Saccharomyces cerevisiae S288C: one gene and its partners. The gene in region 4 interacts genetically with the main gene of each other region. Each region holds a gene or a part of one and is shown on either strand. Other genes may lie near its edges. The genes, in order: UBP14, TOM1, HMO1 and FPR1.

The links.
Region 1: mutations in FPR1 (region 4) and UBP14 together harm fitness more than expected from each alone (negative genetic interaction), as found in Saccharomyces cerevisiae (2 studies listed by BioGRID).
Region 2: mutations in FPR1 (region 4) and TOM1 together harm fitness more than expected from each alone (negative genetic interaction), as found in Saccharomyces cerevisiae (2 studies listed by BioGRID).
Region 3: mutations in FPR1 (region 4) and HMO1 are lethal when combined (synthetic lethality), as found in Saccharomyces cerevisiae (5 studies listed by BioGRID, with this or other methods).

Annotation. Positions count from the first base shown.
Region 1 is NC_001134.8:352,138-358,680, reverse strand, and holds UBP14 (ubiquitin-specific protease UBP14), read left to right. Parts: upstream 1-2,663; coding exon 2,664-5,009; downstream 5,010-6,543. Other genes in the region: serine/threonine protein kinase AKL1, read left to right, coding at 1-1,820; TSC3 (Tsc3p), read left to right, coding at 2,115-2,357; MUM2 (Mum2p), read left to right, coding at 5,388-6,488. UniProt on the Saccharomyces cerevisiae protein: Required for the adaptation to the presence of glucose in the growth medium; mediates the degradation of enzymes involved in gluconeogenesis when cells are shifted to glucose-containing medium.
Region 2 is NC_001136.10:1,367,366-1,373,997, forward strand, and holds the start of TOM1 (E3 ubiquitin-protein ligase TOM1), read left to right. Parts: upstream 1-2,424; coding exon 2,425-6,632. Other genes in the region: bifunctional K:H/Na:H antiporter NHX1, read left to right, coding at 120-2,021. UniProt on the Saccharomyces cerevisiae protein: Probable ubiquitin ligase protein involved in many cellular processes, such as transcription regulation, maintenance of nuclear structure, cell cycle, mRNA export and rRNA maturation.
Region 3 is NC_001136.10:809,602-814,743, forward strand, and holds HMO1 (Hmo1p), read left to right. Parts: upstream 1-2,508; coding exon 2,509-3,249; downstream 3,250-5,142. Other genes in the region: SUP35 (translation termination factor GTPase eRF3), read left to right, coding at 1-780; ARG82 (inositol polyphosphate multikinase), read right to left, coding at 964-2,031; mitochondrial 37S ribosomal protein mS35 RSM24, read right to left, coding at 3,592-4,551; histone acetyltransferase NGG1, read left to right, coding at 4,851-5,142. UniProt on the Saccharomyces cerevisiae protein: DNA-binding protein that is probably part of the rDNA transcription apparatus. Acts synergetically with the RPA49 subunit of RNA polymerase I during rDNA transcription. May participate in mutagenesis control.
Region 4 is NC_001146.8:371,382-376,046, reverse strand, and holds FPR1 (peptidylprolyl isomerase FPR1), read left to right. Parts: upstream 1-3,820; coding exon 3,821-4,165; downstream 4,166-4,665. Other genes in the region: ribosome biosynthesis protein KRE33, read right to left, coding at 1-726; FYV6 (Fyv6p), read left to right, coding at 1,355-1,876; YNL134C (uncharacterized protein), read left to right, coding at 2,466-3,596; EAF7 (Eaf7p), read right to left, coding at 4,402-4,665. UniProt on the Saccharomyces cerevisiae protein: PPIases accelerate the folding of proteins. It catalyzes the cis-trans isomerization of proline imidic peptide bonds in oligopeptides.

The DNA of each region.
Region 1 (6,543 bases), on a different chromosome or scaffold from region 4:
AAAGTCCTCGTTTGAATACCCAATCACTACCACAGAGGCAAAAGAGCACAAGCTCTTATTCTTCAGGTGGCAGATCAATGAAGAGCACATCATATGGTGCAGCAACGATCGGGTCAGACGAAGCCTTGGCGAACGAGAAAACTGCTGGTATTAATAAGATGAAACAACATAAATCGAATAATCCCTTTCCAAAAATGAATGTTGCATACCATTCTACGAATGAATTGAGCAATGACGCAAGTAACTTTTTCCTGGAAGAACAACAGCAAGGCCAGAGATATCAGCAAGCTCAAAATCAAACAGGTACACAAGGGAATACCTTTCCAGATGAATCTCAGTATCAATCTAGAGTTGAACAACAGCAGCAACAACAGGACCAACCCAAAGGACCTGCTAATTATAGCCAAAGAAATTTCTACACTGGGAGGGATCGGTCCAATAAACCTATGCAGTTGGGTGGAACTATTGCTGGAGATAGTGGTAATAGAAGAGTCAACTTTCAGAATATTTCTCAAAATTACGCCACGAACTCCCAGTCAGGATATCTCCCAAGTCAAAATTCCCCAGCAATTCCAATGGTGAGACCTGTTATTTCCATGAATCAGCAGCAAGCGCAACAGATACAAGCCCAGCAATTGCAGGCACAACAGATGCAGGCAAAGCAACAGATGCAAGCCAAGCAGCAGATGCAAGTTCAGCAACAACTGCAAGTCCAACAGCAAATGCAAATTCAAAATGCAAATAATAATGGTACTTACGTCTCTGATAGAACAAATCATACCACAGAAGATATGAGAAATGCTCAGGGGGGTGAACCTCCAATTCTTGCAGGAAATTCTGCAAATGAACCAATGCACTCATCCTCTAAAAATGAAGCTCTCTTAATTGAACTATCTCCATTAAAAGAAGATGCAGGAAAGCAATCTTTCCAAGATACAAATGAGCCTCAAACTGGCGGTATCGAAGATGCCGGCGGTTCAGGAACTATCAAAGGCTCGAACAATAATCGAAATGGCGTTTTAAATTTAAGTTTGAATGAGATGGACTTATCAAGAGATGATACTGGTGCTGCTGTCTCCTCCTTTTCATCGTCTTCATCGTCTGCATCAATTCAACAAGCTAAGCTTTCTGGACGCAAAGGTTCCAGTAAGAGGAACAATTATTCAACAGACGAATTGGGAGATAGTATGGTCTCCAGCGAAAGCATTGATATTGATTTGGATGATGCAAGGAGAGGAAAAACAGCTGAAAGAAGACCACTCCATAATGAAAGAGGTCATAAAGACCAGGCAAGATCAAGTGATGCTAGTAAGTCTAATCAATTCAAAAGCAAGGACTTCAGCAGCGTATCAACAAGGCAACCGCGGCAGTCATTGGATCTGAATTTCCAGGAAGTAAATCTGTCTTCACCAACGTTAACTCAAGAGCATAGAAATAAAAACGACTCGCCAGCACCAAATTCACATCACTCGTATAGAGTTTCACCTCATGCTTCCACCGCAATAACTGAGAATAAGCGCCACAGTACTGGTCACGAACTGTCAACCCGGTCAAATGGCAAGCATGAAACACACAGGACTGGTTCCAAGCAAAGGCACGATTTGGAAAGATACCGGCATTCGAAGGATAAGGATAGCAATAGCAGCATTACTATTAGCACCTCAACTCCATCAGAGATGAGAAAATCCTTCGCTAGGGCCCGTCAATCGCTTGATTTGGAAAGGGTCCGTCGTGAAGCGATGGCAAGTAGTGCATCCAGTAGTGGTGGCAGTAACGGGAAAAGGAGATCTTTTTTCTCAGTCTTTAGAAGCGAGAAATGATTCGATAAATAGAGCACATATAAAATCATATACATACATTGTTACATATAGAGGCGCAGACAATCCGTATATCTTCCTCAAAAACTAAATTGATAGAACAATAGTAACTCAAATCATATGCATTAAGCATATCGTGCGAGATGACGTTTACTCCTGACGCGCTTAACGAGAAGCGGTTAAGTGAAGAGTAATAGTGCTCGCAATTTGACAGAAATGACACCATTTTAAAAGTACTAGAGATAAAGAGTGTAGAAACCGGAAGAACAAAGGTGGAACATATCATAAGGGGAAGAAATGACACAACATAAAAGCTCGATGGTGTACATACCCACCACTAAGGAAGCTAAAAGACGTAATGGGAAATCAGAAGGCATACTAAATACTATTGAAGAAGTGGTGGAAAAGCTTTATTGGACCTACTACATACATTTACCCTTTTATTTAATGGCCTCTTTTGATTCATTCTTCCTCCATGTTTTTTTTCTCACAATTTTCAGTTTGAGTTTCTTCGGTATACTAAAGTATTGCTTCCTTTGAATGATTATTTATATCCTTATTCGGTTAATAATAGTATAAGCTGGAGGCAAGGGGACAGAAAATTTAGGAGGATATCATGGAGGATAGAGTTACATAAATATACACACAATACATAAACTAATAATTGCTTGTGGCTATAGGATATAATTTATAACAGTTGATGTGCCTTTGAAAAATGACATCGTTTGGAATGAGATCAAATTTATCACTTGATGAAATCACAGTGAAAAGCGACTTGCAATGGCAGTAGAGATGACAGGTAAATTCATCCAAAAAGAGAGCCCGAAGTCTTTCTCACATTCAGAAATGGCAGAAGCAGTACTAGAAAACGTTAACGTTCCTGCAGTCGTTTCAAAAGATGAGTGTATTTATTGCTTTGAATCCCCTTATAATGAACCATTGGCCCTCAATGCATCACCTAAACATTCATTGAATATATGCTTAAACTGTTTCCAAGCTACGTGCAACAGACATGTTCCACTCCATATCCGAGTCACAGAATATGCTTGCGATACCATACATTCCAATTATTTAACTATTGCTAAAGTGGAGAAACCTAAGCAAGAAAATGTAGAAGAAAATAATAACAACAAAAAAATAAAGCTACAGGTAATTGAGACGTCAGAAGACGACACCCACAACACTATTTGGAGTTTACAAAGGTTCAATGGTGAAAATGTTCCCAGGACCGTACTTTCGAAGTCGACAGACTCTGACATTTCTTCTACGGCCTTGGAGAAGATTGAAAAGATATTAAAGGCGAAGTCACAAGACTTCGAGGATAAGAAGAACTCCTGGGTGTTAGAAATCAGCACCTGTCCACATACAGAAAACTTTCAAATTCCATCTAAGCCCGAAAATACTGTGAATTTAAACCAATGCTCTTCCTGTGATTTGACTCAAAATCTCTGGTTATGCCTACATTGTGGTAATATCGGATGTGGCAGGGAACAAATCGGGATTGATGGTCACTCGCATGCTTTGGATCATTATCGGAGTAATAATAATCACCCATTAGCTATCAAATTAGGGTCTTTAAGCTCTTCAACCTATGATCTGTATTGTTACGCATGTGACGACGAAACTAGATTTCCAGATAATGTTAATTTAGGCAGTGCACTACAAATATACGGAATTAACATACAAGAAAAGATTGCGGATGAAAAGACTCTAGTTCAATTACAAGTGGAACAGAACGAAAATTGGCAATTTAGAATGGTCGATTCTAGCGGTAAAGAATTTGAAAAATTATCCGCTAGTAAGAATTATGGCTGTGGTCTGATCAATTTGGGTAATTCCTGTTACTTAAATTCGGTTATACAAAGCTTGGTGAATGGTGGCGTCCCGAATTGGTCCTTGGATTTTCTAGGAAGTAAATTTCCACTGGATGTTGTATATCCGGACAATAATTTAAAGTGCCAATGGATCAAGCTACTCAATGCCATGAAATGTGAACCCGAACTATATCCAAATGGTATCAAACCTACTACTTTCAAGAAATGCATTGGGCAAAATCATCAGGAATTCAGTTCCAATAGACAACAGGATGCGATGGAATTTCTAACCTTCCTTTTAGACTTGTTAGACAAGAAATTTTTTTCAAGTAGTTCTTCAGGTATTCCAAATCCCAACGATTTAGTTAGATTTATGATGGAGGATAGGCTCCAATGTAACATTTGCGGGAAGGTTAAATATTCTTATGAACCCACAGAGGCTATACAGATTCCCTTAGAGGAGAATGATGAACCTCAAGATATGTTAGAGAGAATCAAGGCGTATTTTGAAGGGCAGACGATTGAATTTAAATGTGCTAATTGTAAGGAAAAGGTTACCGCAAATAAAAAACCTGGTTTCAAATCTCTTCCTCAAACACTTATTTTGAACCCAATAAGGATTAGATTACAGAACTGGATTCCTGTTAAGACAAGTAATGAGCTTTCTTTACCAGGTTTAATAGACAGGGATGATATGCTAGATGTTTCGTCTTATTTATCACAAGGATTTGATCCTCAAACTGAAAACTTATTGCCTGATGAGGACGAAAACCGTAGCTCTTTTACGCCAAACCAATGCAGTATTTCTCAATTAATTGAAATGGGCTTTACTCAAAATGCTAGCGTGCGCGCCCTATTTAACACCGGAAACCAAGACGCTGAGAGCGCTATGAATTGGCTATTCCAGCATATGGATGACCCTGATTTAAATGATCCCTTTGTCCCGCCTCCTAATGTCCCCAAGAAAGATAAGAGAGAAGTGGATGAGGTATCATTGACTTCAATGTTATCCATGGGACTAAATCCCAACTTATGTCGTAAAGCCTTGATACTCAACAACGGAGATGTTAATCGTAGTGTTGAATGGGTATTTAACAACATGGATGATGATGGAACATTTCCCGAACCTGAAGTGCCAAATGAAGAACAGCAACAAAAAAAGGATCTTGGATATTCGACCGCTAAACCGTACGCTTTAACTGCAGTTATTTGTCATAAGGGAAATTCTGTCCATTCTGGTCACTATGTTGTTTTTATTCGTAAACTAGTGGCAGACAAATGGAAGTGGGTTCTTTATAACGATGAGAAACTAGTTGCTGCCGACAGCATTGAAGATATGAAAAAAAATGGTTATATTTATTTCTATACAAGATGCTAAAAGAACGTTTACACACACACACACACACACACACACATATATATATATATATATATATATATATATATATATATATTTTGCATTATATGTGTATGATCAAATCTATCGAGTTAAATATTTCTACATATTTCAGTAATAAATCCATTTCCATTAGCTATTTTGCAATGTTTTTTCTTTTTTTTTTTTGCTGCTGTTACCTTCGCCGCTAAAAAATCATTTAAAACAAGAAAAGAGTACATTGTTTGATGAAACAACAAGCAAGAAATGTAAACGATAGTCAAACTTAGTAAGAAGAGAATCAGCTGGCTTGGTACTTGATCTTTTGATTTGACCTCATTCTTTTTGCATACACGGCTCGTTTGGAATACTGTTGTAAAAATGAATTACATGGCTTATGATTATGATCCCCAACATTCGTTGGAAACGTCCTTTAACAATTTGGCATTTCATCCCCACCAACAGTCACAGCAACAAGCCCTATACGAATCTGGTGAAAGAAACGATGCCAGGCCGGGATTAATGAACACCTTAGGTCAGGCGAGTAAAATGAATAATTCCATGCTTCCTCAAGGTTCGTCGGCTAGTCCCTTAACGGGTCAACATAGCTTGAACAGTACAACAAATTTCAACATGCCCCCATCAATGAATACCTATAATTACCAGAATGTACCACAAGCATCTATGAGAAATACTCTCAATCATAACAATATCATGAATGGGGCAACTGCTAATGATTATTGGCTGGATCCAATGAATAATATGACAAATAACAAGGATACTAATGGGAATCCTAATGACTCGATGTCATCAATGTCTAATATGACCGCTAAAACCTCAATCAATAGTACGGCATTCAAGAATTCATTTGTTCCTTTTAATCATGTGACAGCGCTCTCAATGAATAATGTCAACAGCAATGAGATGAATTCAAATAAAGATGACAGAATGGAAGCATTGGAAGTAGAACTACAAATAAAGGAAAGTCAAATCGAATCACTCGAGAACGAAATTCAAAGGCTAAAGAAAATTTTCAACGAGGGGCTAAACTACAAGCAGAATGAGCATAAGTATGAGAAGGAAAACTGCCATATACCCCAAACTTTCGAATTGCCAGCTTCCTTGGAAGTGATATTCAGAAAACTGTCATCGTCACTGCATGCAAAGGAAAAGGAGTTAGCAGAGACGAAAGAAAATCTGGAAAGTATATTAACTGCACTGGCGCTAAATCCAACAAATTCAGTGACTAAGTATGGCAGGTATGATGCAGAATCGATTGCTCACAAAATGGTGGTAAGATTAGAAAACTTAACAAACGAGAACAAAGAAATGGCCAAGATGTTAGCATATGGCAGATCAAAAGAGACCCAAATTGAACTGCAGTTGGCCAAAAAAGAAAATCTAGAATTAAGAGAAAAAATCGCATCTTTGGAAGCCCATTTGGCTTCAAAGGAGTCTTCAAAGGAGGACGTTGCTAATTGAAAGAGGTTTACTCATTATCGAGAACATATGGCTAATTCTAAAAAACGAAAAAGAA
Region 2 (6,632 bases), on a different chromosome or scaffold from region 4:
AGCTACTCTAAGATAAAGGGCACCCAAGATTGACAAATAGTTGTAGATTAAACATAGATTGCAAGCAGTGAAATTCAGAGGATAATCTTTTATCGCTGTCAGTACATACCATATGAAAAATGCTATCCAAGGTATTGCTGAATATAGCTTTCAAGGTGCTGTTAACCACCGCCAAGAGAGCAGTTGATCCTGACGATGATGATGAACTTCTACCTTCCCCGGATCTCCCGGGTAGCGATGACCCTATTGCAGGTGATCCTGATGTAGACTTAAACCCTGTTACAGAAGAAATGTTCTCTTCATGGGCATTGTTCATTATGTTGCTCCTATTGATCTCTGCATTGTGGTCTAGTTACTATTTAACTCAGAAACGAATTAGGGCAGTGCATGAAACTGTGCTTTCTATTTTTTATGGTATGGTTATTGGCTTGATAATAAGGATGTCCCCCGGGCATTATATTCAAGATACGGTTACTTTTAATTCATCCTACTTTTTTAATGTTCTATTGCCGCCAATTATTTTAAATAGTGGGTACGAGTTGAATCAAGTGAACTTTTTCAATAATATGTTATCTATCTTAATTTTCGCCATACCGGGCACCTTCATATCTGCTGTGGTTATTGGAATCATATTGTATATCTGGACCTTTTTAGGACTAGAGAGTATTGACATTTCATTCGCAGATGCAATGTCTGTTGGTGCTACATTATCTGCTACCGACCCTGTTACAATTCTTTCAATTTTCAATGCGTATAAAGTGGATCCTAAGCTATATACCATCATTTTTGGAGAATCACTGTTAAATGATGCCATCTCTATTGTTATGTTTGAAACCTGTCAAAAATTTCATGGTCAACCTGCAACATTTTCGTCGGTTTTTGAAGGGGCAGGCCTCTTTTTGATGACTTTCTCCGTTTCGTTGTTGATAGGCGTTCTTATAGGAATTCTTGTTGCTCTTCTGTTGAAACACACTCACATAAGGCGCTATCCTCAAATTGAGAGTTGTTTGATCTTGTTGATTGCTTATGAATCCTATTTTTTCTCCAACGGTTGCCATATGTCCGGTATCGTCTCCTTGTTATTTTGCGGAATTACTTTAAAACATTACGCCTATTATAACATGTCAAGAAGATCACAGATCACCATTAAGTATATTTTCCAACTATTGGCAAGATTATCAGAGAATTTCATCTTTATCTATCTAGGTTTAGAACTTTTTACTGAAGTAGAACTAGTCTATAAGCCACTGCTAATTATTGTGGCAGCTATTTCTATATGTGTTGCTCGTTGGTGTGCTGTGTTCCCATTGTCGCAATTTGTTAACTGGATATATAGAGTAAAGACAATCAGATCTATGAGCGGCATAACCGGAGAAAATATTTCTGTTCCCGATGAAATACCCTACAATTACCAAATGATGACATTTTGGGCAGGTTTACGTGGTGCTGTTGGTGTCGCCTTGGCGTTGGGAATTCAAGGTGAGTATAAGTTCACTTTATTGGCAACGGTCCTTGTTGTTGTTGTTTTAACAGTTATCATTTTTGGGGGCACTACTGCAGGAATGTTAGAAGTTTTAAATATTAAGACTGGTTGCATAAGTGAAGAAGATACATCTGATGACGAGTTTGATATAGAGGCTCCAAGGGCGATAAATTTATTGAACGGTAGTTCTATTCAGACAGATTTGGGCCCATATTCTGACAACAATTCTCCAGATATTTCAATTGACCAATTCGCGGTCAGCAGTAACAAGAATCTCCCCAATAACATATCCACAACTGGTGGTAATACTTTTGGAGGCCTTAATGAAACTGAGAATACTAGCCCTAACCCGGCAAGGTCTTCTATGGATAAGCGTAATTTGAGAGATAAACTGGGAACAATCTTTAATTCCGACTCACAATGGTTTCAAAATTTTGATGAACAGGTATTGAAGCCAGTATTCTTGGACAACGTTTCTCCATCCTTACAAGATTCGGCTACGCAATCACCTGCAGATTTCTCTTCCCAAAACCACTAGACTTTAAAGTGTATGGTTTCCTTGTTTCTAATATAAATATATTAATTAAGTCTTTATACATTCTCTCTTACTCAACGCCGAAGGAATACCCTTCTACACTTTATTCATTTTAAATCATGTACTGTTATATACACGCTAGTAGGATTGATCTTATTTAATCATATTTCGCACGTTACCCGACTGCTTTCAGTTTTGCCGCTTTGTGATAATGAGGAATTTCAGCTAGCTTTTAATGAGCCGATACTAAATCACCATGATTTTGGGAGAGGAAAAGAAGAAAAGGTAAAACAACGAATATTTTTCAAATACCTTAGTTACTGAATATCCATAACTACTCGTATAATTGGTGAGAAAATAGTGCATATTTAGTTTACTTTTTGCCTTTGATTGAAAATATATATTCATGGTGCTTTTTACTCGGTGTGAAAAGGCAAGAAAGGAGAAACTCGCCGCTGGTTATAAGCCCTTAGTTGATTATTTGATTGATTGTGATACTCCCACATTTTTAGAAAGAATTGAGGCAATCCAAGAGTGGGACCGATCCAGAGATGATCTTTATGTTTGGATTCCCATTCTAGACAGAATGGACGGGCTGTTGTTAAAAGTGGCAGAGAAATATAAATACAAGCAAGACCCCAAGAAGGAGTGTGAAGTCAAATTGGTGGAAATGGAAGCGCATGATGTTGATTATTGTTTGAAAATGCTAAAGTTTACTCGTCGACTACTTCTAAATACAGAAAACAGGTTTGTTTATTCATCTGGAGATGTTTTAATGTATCTACTGAATTGTCCGAATTTTACAATAAAACTAGCGGTCATGCGAATTTTAGCCATTTTAGGGGAAAGGTTTGTGATTGCGAGAGAAAAAATAGTTGCACATAACATATTTGGAGATCACAACCTCAGGAAAAAAACTCTCAAACTAGCTTTATCTCTGTCATCTTCCGTCATGGATGAAGACGGAGAGCACTTTTCTCTTGTCGATCTATATTTTGATAAGAAAAAAGTGCCTCAAAAATGGAGAAAGTTGAGATTTACACATTATACTTCAAACGACTTTAAAAAGTCAAGCCAGCAAAAAAATAACATTAATGAAACCCAAACTTCCATTAAGAAGGTAACTATGACGACCCAAGAACTGTGTGAACACTCACTACAGCAAATATTTGATAAGGGTATGGCCCTTTTACCCGCAGAAAGTTGGTTTGATTTCTCAATAAAAGCTTCGGTGGCGAAGGCCTTCAGTGATGATTCAGGTGAAAATATAGATTTGAGAAATATAATTATTGAAACAAAACTGAATGCTATTGCATTTGTTAACACCATTTTCTCGCCTCCTCAAGTAAGCTCGAAGTTATTTGAATTAGATCCGTATGCTTTTAATAGTCTAACTGATTTGATATCGTTGTCTGAAACCAAAATACCAAAAGAGCTAAGAACGGATGCTTTATTCACATTGGAATGTATATCCTTGAAGCATGTCTGGTGCTCAGACATTATCAGAAATCTCGGTGGTAACATATCGCATGGTCTGTTGTTTCAGATTCTCCGTTACATTGCCAAGACATTGAGAGAAGCGACAGACGAAATCGATGAAGAATATAATGTGAGGTTCTTTTACTTGATATCAAATTTAGCTGACGTTAAGCCTTTGCATGAATCTCTTTTCGCCGCGGGTTTAATACCTACTTTATTGGAAATTGTATCTATAAGAAATTGCCCATATAAGCGTACCCTCGCATCTGCTACCCATCTCCTAGAAACATTTATAGATAACAGTGAAACTACCACTGAATTTATCGAAAATGATGGGTTTACTATGCTGATCACTTCAGTCGCCAATGAGATTGATTTCACGCTTGCACATCCAGAGACGTGGCAACCGCCAAAATATTCAGTGGTTTATTATTCAATTTCTTTTAGGGAGTTGGCATATATTAGAAGTTTATTGAAACTCGTTCTCAAATTATTAAGCACAGACTCAGGGGATAGAATTAGAAATTTAATAGATTCGCCGATACTTGTTTCATTAAAGAAAATCCTAGAAAATAAACTTGTATTCGGTTTAACATTAATAACTTACACTCTGGATGTAGTTCAGAAAGTAATAAATAGTGAGCCTACTATTTATCCTGTTCTGGTTGAAGCAGGACTTATTCCATATGTTATCGATAATTTTCCAAAGTTAATTGGGCCTTCCGCCGAATTATTAAGTTTACTTCCAGATGTCGTTTCTGCCATATGCTTGAATCCAGAAGGGCTGAAGCAAGTTAAAGAAAAGGGTCTCATAAACAATTTGTTTGATTTCTTACTCGATGCTGACCACGCGCGTATATTAACAGGTGGAGATCGTTCTACGGAATATGGTACTGACATTGATGAATTAGCAAGACATTATCCAGACTTAAAGGCAAATATCGTGGAGGCTTTGTGTAACGTCATCAGAAAAATGCCAAGTACCTTTAGAAATGAAAGAGAGTTTCTTTTTACTTCACCAAAAGATCAAAAGTACTTTTTTCACAGAAAAAATGAGGAAATATTGACAGATAAAGAGGAACATGAACCTGCATACTGGGAGCTATTAGATAAGGGAACTATGCTGGACACATTTACCAGTGTTTTGTTTGGTATGTCTTTAGGAAATGGTTCTTTTTCACAGGTGCCACAACATCTGGAAGCGAGAGATTTTCTGGCAATAATATTTATGGAAAATCCTCCTTATGAATACTTTACCTCCGTGGCAATCTCAAATGTTACTGAGGTCCTCCAGTATCTGGATGAAAAATACGAAGACTACGCATTCATGGATGTTATGAAAGTATTGAACGATCAATTGGAGAACCTGAATGATTTTTTGAATAGTCCAAATGATAGAAGTTTCTTTTTAGAAAGAGATGGGGAAAACTCGGTGCGTTCATGCCATTCAAAACTTTGTCGACTTGCCGCTATTTTGAACATTGTTACGAATGTATACATTGACCTCACTACCTTATCTTGTAAGAGAATCATGCAGATCTATTCTTATTTTGACAAAAGAGGATTTTCTTTAATTAAAAACTTAAAGTTGCTATTCCAGAAATGTGCGTTGGAGGAAATGTACATACGCCAACATATGCCAGATTCTGTTATTACAGAAACAATGCCGTTGCCTATAGTGGATGTTTCCGGAGATGGACCACCACTTCAAATTTATATCGATGACCCAAAAAAGGGTGATCAAAAGGGGAAAATTACCAGCGTAAAAACGAGAAATACTCTTCAAATGCGAACAATACTGTATACATTACAATCAAATACTGCAATTCTATTTCGCTGCTTTTTAAGGTTAAGCCACTCTAGGAATATGGATCTAGAGCATAAAGATTTGACGACAGAAGTTCATATATTTGAGAACGTTGTTGAAAATGTTATTGAAATGTTGAAGGCCACCGAACTCGAAGGTCATCTACCGTATATTCTCGTTTTATTAAACTTCAACACCTTTGTGTTTACTATTCCAAAGGCTTCCCCTAATTCCACTGAAATATTACAAACAATACCGGCTTATATTTTCTATCAAAAGGGGGGCTATTTACTTTATTTGCACATTATAAGGGATCTCTTTACGAGAATGACAAAAATAAAAGATTTATCCTCACTTGATAACATAAACTACATAGATGAGTCCAACGGTATCCTAACCTTAAGCTGTTTAATTAATGCTCTCACCTTTTACAACAAATCAATGCAAACTGAAACCATGGAGAATGTCCAAAGTATTGGTAAGTATTACGTTTCAATAGATGACGATTATAATATTATGAAAGCTTTAACAGTTCCTATTAAGGTAATGGCTCTCGCAATGATTTTAGATTTGGATAAATCGGATAGCCTCTTCAAGACACAGTCCCGTAATGTGCCTTACTCAGTTTTCAAGCAACTTCTTAGTATGCTCAAAAATATATTCACTAATGTGAACATCTATACCAAGGAATTATATGAATTGCATTGGGACCTAATATTCCCACCAATTAAAAAAATTAGCTTGTTTGAGCAAGTCGGCATTCCCGGTGATGTTGCGGCAAACTATTTAACAGATACTGGTGATGATCTTCCTGCAGATAACAGTATTGGCCTGTTTTCGCCTGAACAATGGGAAAAATATAAAAAATTAATCGGTGAAGATAAATCCATCTACTATCCACAACCAATGCAAGCTCAGTATTACAAAGGATGTTCCTCAAAAGAATTAGATGAGCTGAGAGATACCTTTTTCAATGACGGTTTACCATCTAGGATCTTCACTGTACTCCCTTTCTATCCTAAACTTGTAAACGCGTTTGCAAAAACTTTGCTACAAATTTTTACGAAATACGATGAACCCACTGAAGTGTTTGCTGGTAGAATCTTAGATCGAATTTTAGAGACAGATCTAGATGACCCTGCTACTTTATCTTCCTTAATCCATTTATTTGGTATATTCCTGAACGAGAAATATATTTATCAAAAGGCTTCGCATTTAATGCAAAGGTTCATTGAATATCTTGAGAAGTCTCTGAAGCCAGAACATGTTAATACGCCTTGGTTTTCGAAAGCTCTTTACGTTTACGAAATTATACTGGCGAAATCTGA
Region 3 (5,142 bases), on a different chromosome or scaffold from region 4:
GTCAGCAATTTCTTGAGAGCAATTGGTTACAACATTAAGACAGACGTTGTATTTATGCCAGTATCCGGCTACAGTGGTGCAAATTTGAAAGATCACGTAGATCCAAAAGAATGCCCATGGTACACCGGCCCAACTCTGTTAGAATATCTGGATACAATGAACCACGTCGACCGTCACATCAATGCTCCATTCATGTTGCCTATTGCCGCTAAGATGAAGGATCTAGGTACCATCGTTGAAGGTAAAATTGAATCCGGTCATATCAAAAAGGGTCAATCCACCCTACTGATGCCTAACAAAACCGCTGTGGAAATTCAAAATATTTACAACGAAACTGAAAATGAAGTTGATATGGCTATGTGTGGTGAGCAAGTTAAACTAAGAATCAAAGGTGTTGAAGAAGAAGACATTTCACCAGGTTTTGTACTAACATCGCCAAAGAACCCTATCAAGAGTGTTACCAAGTTTGTAGCTCAAATTGCTATTGTAGAATTAAAATCTATCATAGCAGCCGGTTTTTCATGTGTTATGCATGTTCATACAGCAATTGAAGAGGTACATATTGTTAAGTTATTGCACAAATTAGAAAAGGGTACCAACCGTAAGTCAAAGAAACCACCTGCTTTTGCTAAGAAGGGTATGAAGGTCATCGCTGTTTTAGAAACTGAAGCTCCAGTTTGTGTGGAAACTTACCAAGATTACCCTCAATTAGGTAGATTCACTTTGAGAGATCAAGGTACCACAATAGCAATTGGTAAAATTGTTAAAATTGCCGAGTAAATTTCTTGCAAACATAAGTAAATGCAAACACAATAATACCGATCATAAAGCATTTTCTTCTATATTAAAAAACAAGGTTTAATAAAGCTGTTATATATATATATATATATATAGACGTATAATTAGTTTAGTTCTTTTTGTACCATATACCATAAACAAGGTAAACTTCACCTCTCAATATATCTAGAATTTCATAAAAATATCTAGCAAGGTTTCAACTCCTTCAATCACGTTTTCATCATAACCCTTCCCCGGCGTTATTTCAGAATGTGCAAAATCTATTAGTGACATGGAACTCAAAGAACCAGTTGTTTTTTTGTCCTTTGGTCCTTCGCTGCTTCCCTCGGCATCATCATCATCATCATCATCATTATCATCATCGTCGTCATCATCGTCTATAAAATCATCTCGCATAAGTTTGTCAACATCATTTAGTAATTCCCATCGCTCCGGGTCTCCTTCGTAAATAAACAAAAGACTACTTGATATCATTCTAACTTCTTCTTCTAGCATAGTATTATAAAACAACTGCAATCTTTTCAAAAATGTTTTCTTCAGTTGATGCTTTCTCGCATCCGACAGATGAGGATTGTTAAAATAAAGTTCAATTGCATCTGAAACATTTTGATCGGTTCTTGAACGACCATACAATTTGTTTATAAAGATATAATCACTGTCTGCTTCTTCTTCGTAATATTCGAGCGAAAGCTGATTCAGCACAGAGGGATTTTTCTGTATTTTCATGCCACATATCCTGAAACCCAAAGATCCTGAAGTCGTCGTCTCACTGACTCTTTTCATTCTCTCTCTTTTTTCCAATGATGCCTTCGAATCATACAAAGTTTTGCCTAATTTTATATCAAGTATATTAGGTTTACTAAATCCATATAGTAGATTTTCTAAAACGAGGTATTGCTTGGACTTCTCAGACTTTACAGGTATTGAATCAAGATTATCAGTGGAATCACTTAACCGCTCATCTATCTTCAGAAGCGCAGCATCGCCACTTTGCTCGATTTTTGCCCCTTCATTCAAGACTCCAAGATACGTGGGCATCCAAGAGCACAAGGGAGCATCTCCATCAGCCGAAGACTTTCTTCGACTCACATCTCTCACTTGTATGGCTTTGTAGAATTCCAGTTCCTGCGGAAAGGCCGGTTTAAAGATGAGCAATCCATCACCGTCTGTTAGAGTACCGTCGTGGCCAGCAGCTTTATGCTCTAAAACCCTATAATTGTTTACCGTATCCATGTGAAAAAAATTTCTACTTAGGCACACGTATGCACATATCCATGTAAGCTACTAATGGAAATTGTTTAACTGATTACTGGTAAAAAAGGGATCTCCAATGGCTTTATCTTATTCCATTTTGTCCCACCATTTGTATACAGTATAAAGACATTTTGGTGAGATACTTAGTTACCCAGCCTACTTCTGAGAAATATTACCCGACTCGATTATCTACCAATTGGCTTCGAGAACGTGGTTTTTCACCATTTTTTTTCCCGCTTTTTTTTTTCATCCGACCGTTGTGGCGGAGAGAAGCTTCCGGAAGGGAATTCACTCAGATTCTCTCCAGTACCACGGGGGGCAACTCTGCCTGGAACACTCTCTTCCTTCAAGAACTTAGCAAGAAGTACCAATTAGTCCCAGCGGGCCCTCAGGGCTGGTCTACTGCCTTATACTCTAGGATGTACATCCTACCACACACAACAAGCCTGTCACACCATGACTACAGATCCTTCTGTCAAATTGAAGTCCGCCAAAGACTCCCTCGTCTCCTCCCTCTTCGAGTTATCAAAAGCTGCTAATCAGACAGCCTCCTCTATTGTTGATTTCTACAATGCCATCGGCGACGATGAAGAAGAGAAGATAGAGGCTTTCACCACTTTGACTGAGTCTTTGCAAACATTGACTTCTGGTGTAAACCACTTGCACGGCATCAGCTCGGAGCTGGTTAACCCTATTGATGATGATAAAGATGCTATTATCGCTGCTCCAGTCAAGGCTGTAAGAAGAAAGATCGAACGTGATCCAAATGCTCCAAAGAAGCCACTGACTGTTTTCTTTGCTTACTCTGCGTACGTTCGTCAAGAACTTCGTGAAGACAGACAAAAGGCTGGCTTGCCACCTTTATCCTCAACTGAGATTACTCAAGAAATCTCCAAGAAATGGAAGGAATTGAGTGATAACGAAAAAGAAAAATGGAAGCAGGCTTACAACGTCGAGTTGGAGAATTACCAAAGAGAGAAATCCAAATACTTAGAAGCAAAGAAAAACGGTACCCTACCACCAGCTTCCTTGGAAAACGGTCCAACTCATGCGCCGGTTCCAATTCCTTTCAGTTTACAGCACGCCGCTGAACCTCCTGTGGAAAAGAGACCTCACGATGATGATGGATCTTCGGAAAAGAAGAAGAAGAAGAAGAAGAAGGATAAGAAGAAGGACAAATCCAACTCTTCTATTTGATGGACGGACAAACTCGTTACTATTACTCTACTGTCTTTCTAAAATAAATATAATAATAAAAAAAGGAATAAAATATAGCAGCATGGGCTTGCTTTGCCCATAGTGTATGCACATATATATATATATATATGTATCTATCCCTCTCCTCTTGTAACAGTATATCTTCCTTTTCATTTTCGTTGTGTATATGTATGTATATAGTTCTAAATTTGCGATTATACCTTTTCAAACCTCTCAATGTTGTATTGTGCTAAAACTATGTACATTTTAGAGAAAAAGAAGGAAGCAAAACAAATACATAATATATACAGGGGGGCCGTTCTTTTTGTTTTTGAACATGTATTAAAGAGTGCTCAATAATTGATCTACAATATCAAATTTCTTCTTTGGTGCATCTTCAGGGCGTTTCCAGTGTTCAGGAAACTCATAATCCCGCTTCTTTTTACGTAAACTCTTAGCTATAGTATGCCTTGTGTCAAGGGGAACATCGCTAAAATCGTCCTCCGTCAAATCTTTTGACTCCGCTAACAGCCTTTGAAGAATATCATGCAAATAACGTGCATTTTGTGATGCATGCTCAAATTTGTCACTAGACATTTTAAAAATATCTGTAGTATGATCATAACGCGACCTGGCTAATATTCTGAACTTATGTAATGATTTTTCCTCCAGGCCCAATTCCTTGGTTTTAACGCTTAATACAACCTTCCTCGAATTGGGATGCTCTTCGCCAACATAACTAGTGTATCTATAAGTGACCGGATGACTTTCTGGAGATGGTCTCTTGTATTCCTGGCGATATTGAGCTAATAGCGGTAACTCATATGCGGCTAATCGATTATAGAACCTTTGTTCACGATGTTGGGCAACCAATTCCTGAGCTTGCGATGGCAATTCATCAAACATAAACGGTCTAAGACTGTTATCGCGATTCACGTTTCCACCTTTTATATCAATAGCGCCTTGTTCTCCTCTGTGATATAGCTTTTTAATATCGTTAACAGGTACATTTGAGTACTCAGAAGTGGTTAATAAGGCATTCAGTTCGTCTTTGTTAGGTTTATACTCTGAACCCAATCTAGCCATTCTCTCCCAATATAACTCTAAAATTCTTTGAGGAGGTAAACCCTTCCATTTTTCGGGATGCATATAGAGATCTGCTGAAAAAGCTGGTCCTTCTCTCACAGTTTTAGCTTCATTACCAGCATCACTGTTCAAACATCTAGACATTGTCAAAACCCTTTTCTGGGTGCTCCACAAATTACCCCGAGAGACTTTCCATAACCCCAATGGTACTTTCATCTTCCTAAGAATAGTATTTTAGTAGTGTCAAATGTTTCGGTAACTCTACTGCCTTGTTCACAGATCGAAATATACTCAGAATCAGTTACAGAAAAGGTCCCATTTAGCGTAATTTCTTAGCGGAACTCATTAAAGAGCTCCGACGTGCAACGCGATAAAGGTTCGCCGACGACAACAAAACAATGGCAGGCAGTCATTAAATGAACGCCATCAAATGAAATATTCGTGGTAGCGATTACAATAAGGAAGTTGGAAAAACATAACAAAGACGGAGCGACGAGAAGTATTGGACAGGACATATGCCTAGACATGGAAGAAGAGGAAAACTGCCAAAAGGCGAGAAACTTCCTAAAAAGGAGGGAGGCGACAATACTCCGTCAAAGCTTTTATCGTCAATGCTTAAAACTTTAGATTTGACCTTCGAGCGTGATATTGGAATGCTCAATGGCAAAAGTGTTAGGTCCATACCCAATAAAAAAACTTTACTTGAATTGCAAAGTCAATTGGATAGTCTCAATGAAATACTGGGTACAATTGCCCGAGGTGATCAAGAGACCATTGAAGCGCTTCGGAAAATAAGAGACAGTAAAA
Region 4 (4,665 bases):
TTCTAAGGATTCTTTTAATTCTTGCAACTCTAATTGCTTTGGAGGCAATTCGTCATCTTCCTTAGGAGGTAGTGGTTTCACGTTTTTGGCACCAGATAGCGGTAGAACATTTAATTCATCATCAACGACTAAACAGTTTGGATTTGAACCTAAAGAAAGTATGAATCTTTCGTTAAATCTTGCAACAACGTCACCATGAGCCTCAGTACGATAACGGGCGTGAACATCCATAGTCATGGTGTACAGTTGCTTTAACGATGACATTGATTTCAATAAAATAACCACAATACCACCACCTTCTACAGTTTCAATGGTTCTTGCTAAAAGATTTGGGGTTAATGCCTCGAAGTCCTGAAGAATACACATACCATAGGTATTACCCAATATTTTCTCACTCTCTTTGTAGTATACATATCTGATATTTTGGTTAGAGATAAAAGATTCAAAAGGGTCCATTTCATTCACTTCCCTTGTACCTCTTTTAATTTCTTTCTTAATTTTATTCTCTCTTTTTTTTCTGTGCGAAGTGAATCCTAGAAGCTTCTTCTTATAAGCCCATAAGACGGACTTGTTCATCTTAAGGTCAGCACTCATCATCAAATAATGTAAATTTGGGAGCTGGTTACGTGCCCTGTCCCCAACGATGACAAATATGGACCTTTGTTTGGTTTGAACACCATTCCTGATCAGTGACGGGATTCTTGAATCGATAGCTTTTTTGGCCATTTTCTCCTTGTTTTATAAGTCTCTTATAAGTCTTTGCAAGTTAAAAACTAAGAAATATAAAAGGTGACTTGGCTTATATACTCTATTGCGTACTTTATTTGAGATAAATACAGAATCTCCATGCATCTTCAGCACCTCATCTCATCTCATTGTATCTTGGCTCTTCATTTTTTTTTTTCAAAATTTTTCACACGATTCCGGGTAAACTATTACTTTTTACAACTAATTCAGATATACCTGGGAAGTTACAATGGAAAACATGCAATGTTCGGTCTGGCTTGTATCATTTGATTGGAAAAGCGAGCATCGGTTGATACTGAACACATCCACATGCGTAATCATTAAAAAAAATTTTTCAAATTGCGAACTCTGTGGATCGAACACAGGACCTCCAGATGACTTGACCGAAGTTTTTCTTCAGTCTGGCGCTCTCCCAACTGAGCTAAGTCCGCTTATTTTTCTGAAACCTTTTCCGCCTTTTTGTCGTCCCTAGGAATTACTTTTGATGCACTGCCAATCTGAGGGAAAAATGACGTTTAAACGCACGAGAATGTGCAATTAGATGTAAGTCCATCGAAGCCTAGAGAAAGCGGTTCCAACAAAAGACTGTGGGCTCTGTTATATCATCATGTCATCTACCAGTGATAATAATGCTAATAGTGCAAGAGAGAAAAAACCACTGAAATTCGTGTCAGAAGGAGTTGGTAATGTAGAGGCCCAGAGGATACGAGAGCAAGTGGAGCAAAAAAAATATGAAGCGGAATATAAAAGGAAAACCAGGAAGTCCCTGCGAGATCAGCTTAGGTCTAATGCTATTAGTAAACAAAAACAATATAACGGTTTGGTGAGAGACCGTGAAAGTTTTACTAGGTTGAGTAAAGAGGACCTGGAATTTTACCAGAAGAGCAAGAATGAGTTGCTAAAAAAGGAAAAAGAACTGAATAACTACTTAGACGTCAAGGCAATCAATTTTGAAAAGAAAAAAAAAGCATTACTAATGGAGAACGATTCTACTACTAATACAGAAAAATATTTAGAGACCGGCACTAGTTTGGGCAGTAAAACACAAATAAAGGGCGTAAAGACATCCAGCCCTAAACCAAAAATCAAGGTATCCATAAAAAAATTGGGTAGAAAACTGGAGAACTGATGTGATGGCCTACACACTTCGTCACAACTAGAGCTTTATGCCAAGATTAAACTTCAAGTTATATAAATTATGTAAACATTGGACATACAAAACTCGGAAACTCTTTTTCTATTCATCTTCCCTTCTCGTACGTGCCCACGGAAGCAATAAAAAGAACCGAAATAACCAACACCCGTAACGTCAAAGCATTCATGCTTAGAATGGAAACCATTTCGTGGAATGAAATGGCAAATTGATCACATTGATTGCTCGTTCCACTACCTGTGTCCGCAATTTTTTAATGGTCATCACAGCCCCTGCTGACTAAAGTTCCTCGGATCCGCTTACGGTTGTCGCGCGGTTCCGCCCCTGCGTACTCTTAGTACCTAGCATATGGGCTCCCTCCGTTGGATTGGCATCGATTAGTAAGGACAGATGTTAAGGATTTAAGACCGTTTTTAAGGTATTTCGGCAATGCTTCGATTTAAAAGGAGAGAGTTTTTTTTTTGCCGTTTTCTTCCTCTCACTTCTTGATTAGTACTGTAATTCTAGTTGAAAAAAAATCGTTAACTATACACAGCAAAAAGCAATATCATACTGCATATCAAGCATGTCCGCCTCGATTCCAGAAACCATGAAAGCCGTTGTCATTGAAAATGGCAAGGCTGTAGTCAAACAGGACATTCCAATTCCTGAATTAGAAGAAGGATTTGTTCTAATTAAGACTGTCGCCGTTGCCGGTAACCCTACCGATTGGAAACATATTGATTTCAAGATTGGTCCTCAAGGTGCCCTCTTAGGCTGTGATGCAGCCGGCCAAATCGTAAAGTTGGGCCCAAATGTTGATGCTGCACGCTTTGCCATTGGTGATTACATTTATGGGGTTATTCACGGTGCTTCAGTGAGGTTCCCCTCAAACGGTGCCTTTGCTGAGTACTCTGCCATTTCATCCGAGACTGCTTATAAACCAGCCAGAGAGTTTAGATTGTGCGGTAAAGACAAGCTACCAGAAGGCCCCGTAAAATCTTTAGAAGGGGCAGTATCCCTCCCAGTCTCATTGACCACGGCTGGTATGATCCTTACACATAGTTTTGGCTTGGACATGACATGGAAGCCCTCCAAAGCGCAAAGAGATCAACCCATCTTATTTTGGGGTGGTGCCACTGCTGTTGGCCAGATGCTTATTCAATTGGCAAAAAAACTAAACGGTTTCAGCAAGATCATCGTCGTTGCTTCTCGTAAACATGAAAAATTGTTGAAAGAGTACGGTGCAGATGAACTTTTTGACTACCACGATGCTGACGTTATCGAACAGATAAAAAAGAAGTACAACAACATTCCTTACTTGGTGGACTGTGTCTCCAACACAGAAACTATTCAACAGGTGTACAAATGTGCCGCTGATGACTTAGACGCTACGGTCGTTCAATTGACCGTTTTAACCGAAAAAGATATCAAGGAGGAAGACAGGAGGCAAAACGTCAGTATTGAAGGAACCCTTCTATATTTGATAGGAGGTAACGACGTCCCATTTGGCACGTTTACTTTGCCAGCAGACCCTGAATACAAGGAAGCCGCCATAAAATTTATTAAGTTCATCAATCCAAAAATCAATGATGGTGAAATCCACCACATCCCAGTGAAAGTTTACAAGAACGGGTTAGATGATATCCCACAGTTACTTGATGATATTAAGCACGGGAGGAATTCTGGCGAAAAGTTGGTTGCCGTCTTGAAATAAATAATCTATAGCTACTTATGTATATAGCGCTTGATCATTCTGTTTACCTCCACATTATAGTGCCGTTCAATTCCCCTCACCCGCCTTAGTCTTTTTCGGGCAAAAAAAATTGCCGGAAGAGAGACGTCGTTGAAAGAATTTGGTGGATAAACTCGTGAAAGCTTAAAGTAAGGCCTTTCACCTAAACTCGAGTATAAGCAAAAAATCAATCAAAACAAGTAATAATGTCTGAAGTAATTGAAGGTAACGTCAAAATTGACAGAATTTCCCCAGGTGATGGTGCCACCTTCCCAAAGACAGGTGACTTGGTTACCATTCATTACACCGGTACCTTGGAGAACGGCCAAAAATTCGATTCCTCCGTTGACAGGGGCTCTCCATTCCAATGTAACATCGGTGTCGGCCAAGTCATCAAGGGTTGGGATGTTGGTATTCCAAAGTTGTCTGTTGGTGAAAAAGCTAGGTTAACCATCCCTGGCCCATATGCTTATGGCCCACGTGGTTTCCCAGGTTTGATTCCACCAAACAGTACTTTGGTTTTCGACGTCGAATTGTTGAAGGTCAACTAAAAGCAAAGTACTATCAATTGAGCCGCCTTTCTGCTTTTTATTTATGTTTATGGTAAGTATCTGAGCCTTAATTGAAATAGATATATAATTACAAAAGATTAGACAAGGAGAAGCATACGTATATTCTATTTCTTCATTAAGGTTATTTTATTCTATATCTGCTACACTACATTAAATACAGATACCTCTATGGAACGGATGAGCGTTTATTATCGCGATCTATATATGAGCAGTGATTATTTTTTATTTCGTAGCCTGCTGGAAACTCTTGTGGCAGGAGGGCTATTTTTACGAGAGCCTGCCTTCCGCCTTTTCCTTTTCGGCGAGGTTTCATTGCTAGTATTACCTGTGGATGATGAATGCCTAGTTCTCTTTGCTAATGGTTCATTTTTGTCCTTAGAATCCTTTTTGGTATCATCCTGTTGATCATCTCCTTTTTTGTTTTCCGTTTTTTTCTTTAAGTTGCCCCCTTCTGATTCAATTTGTTTTCCTTTACCTTC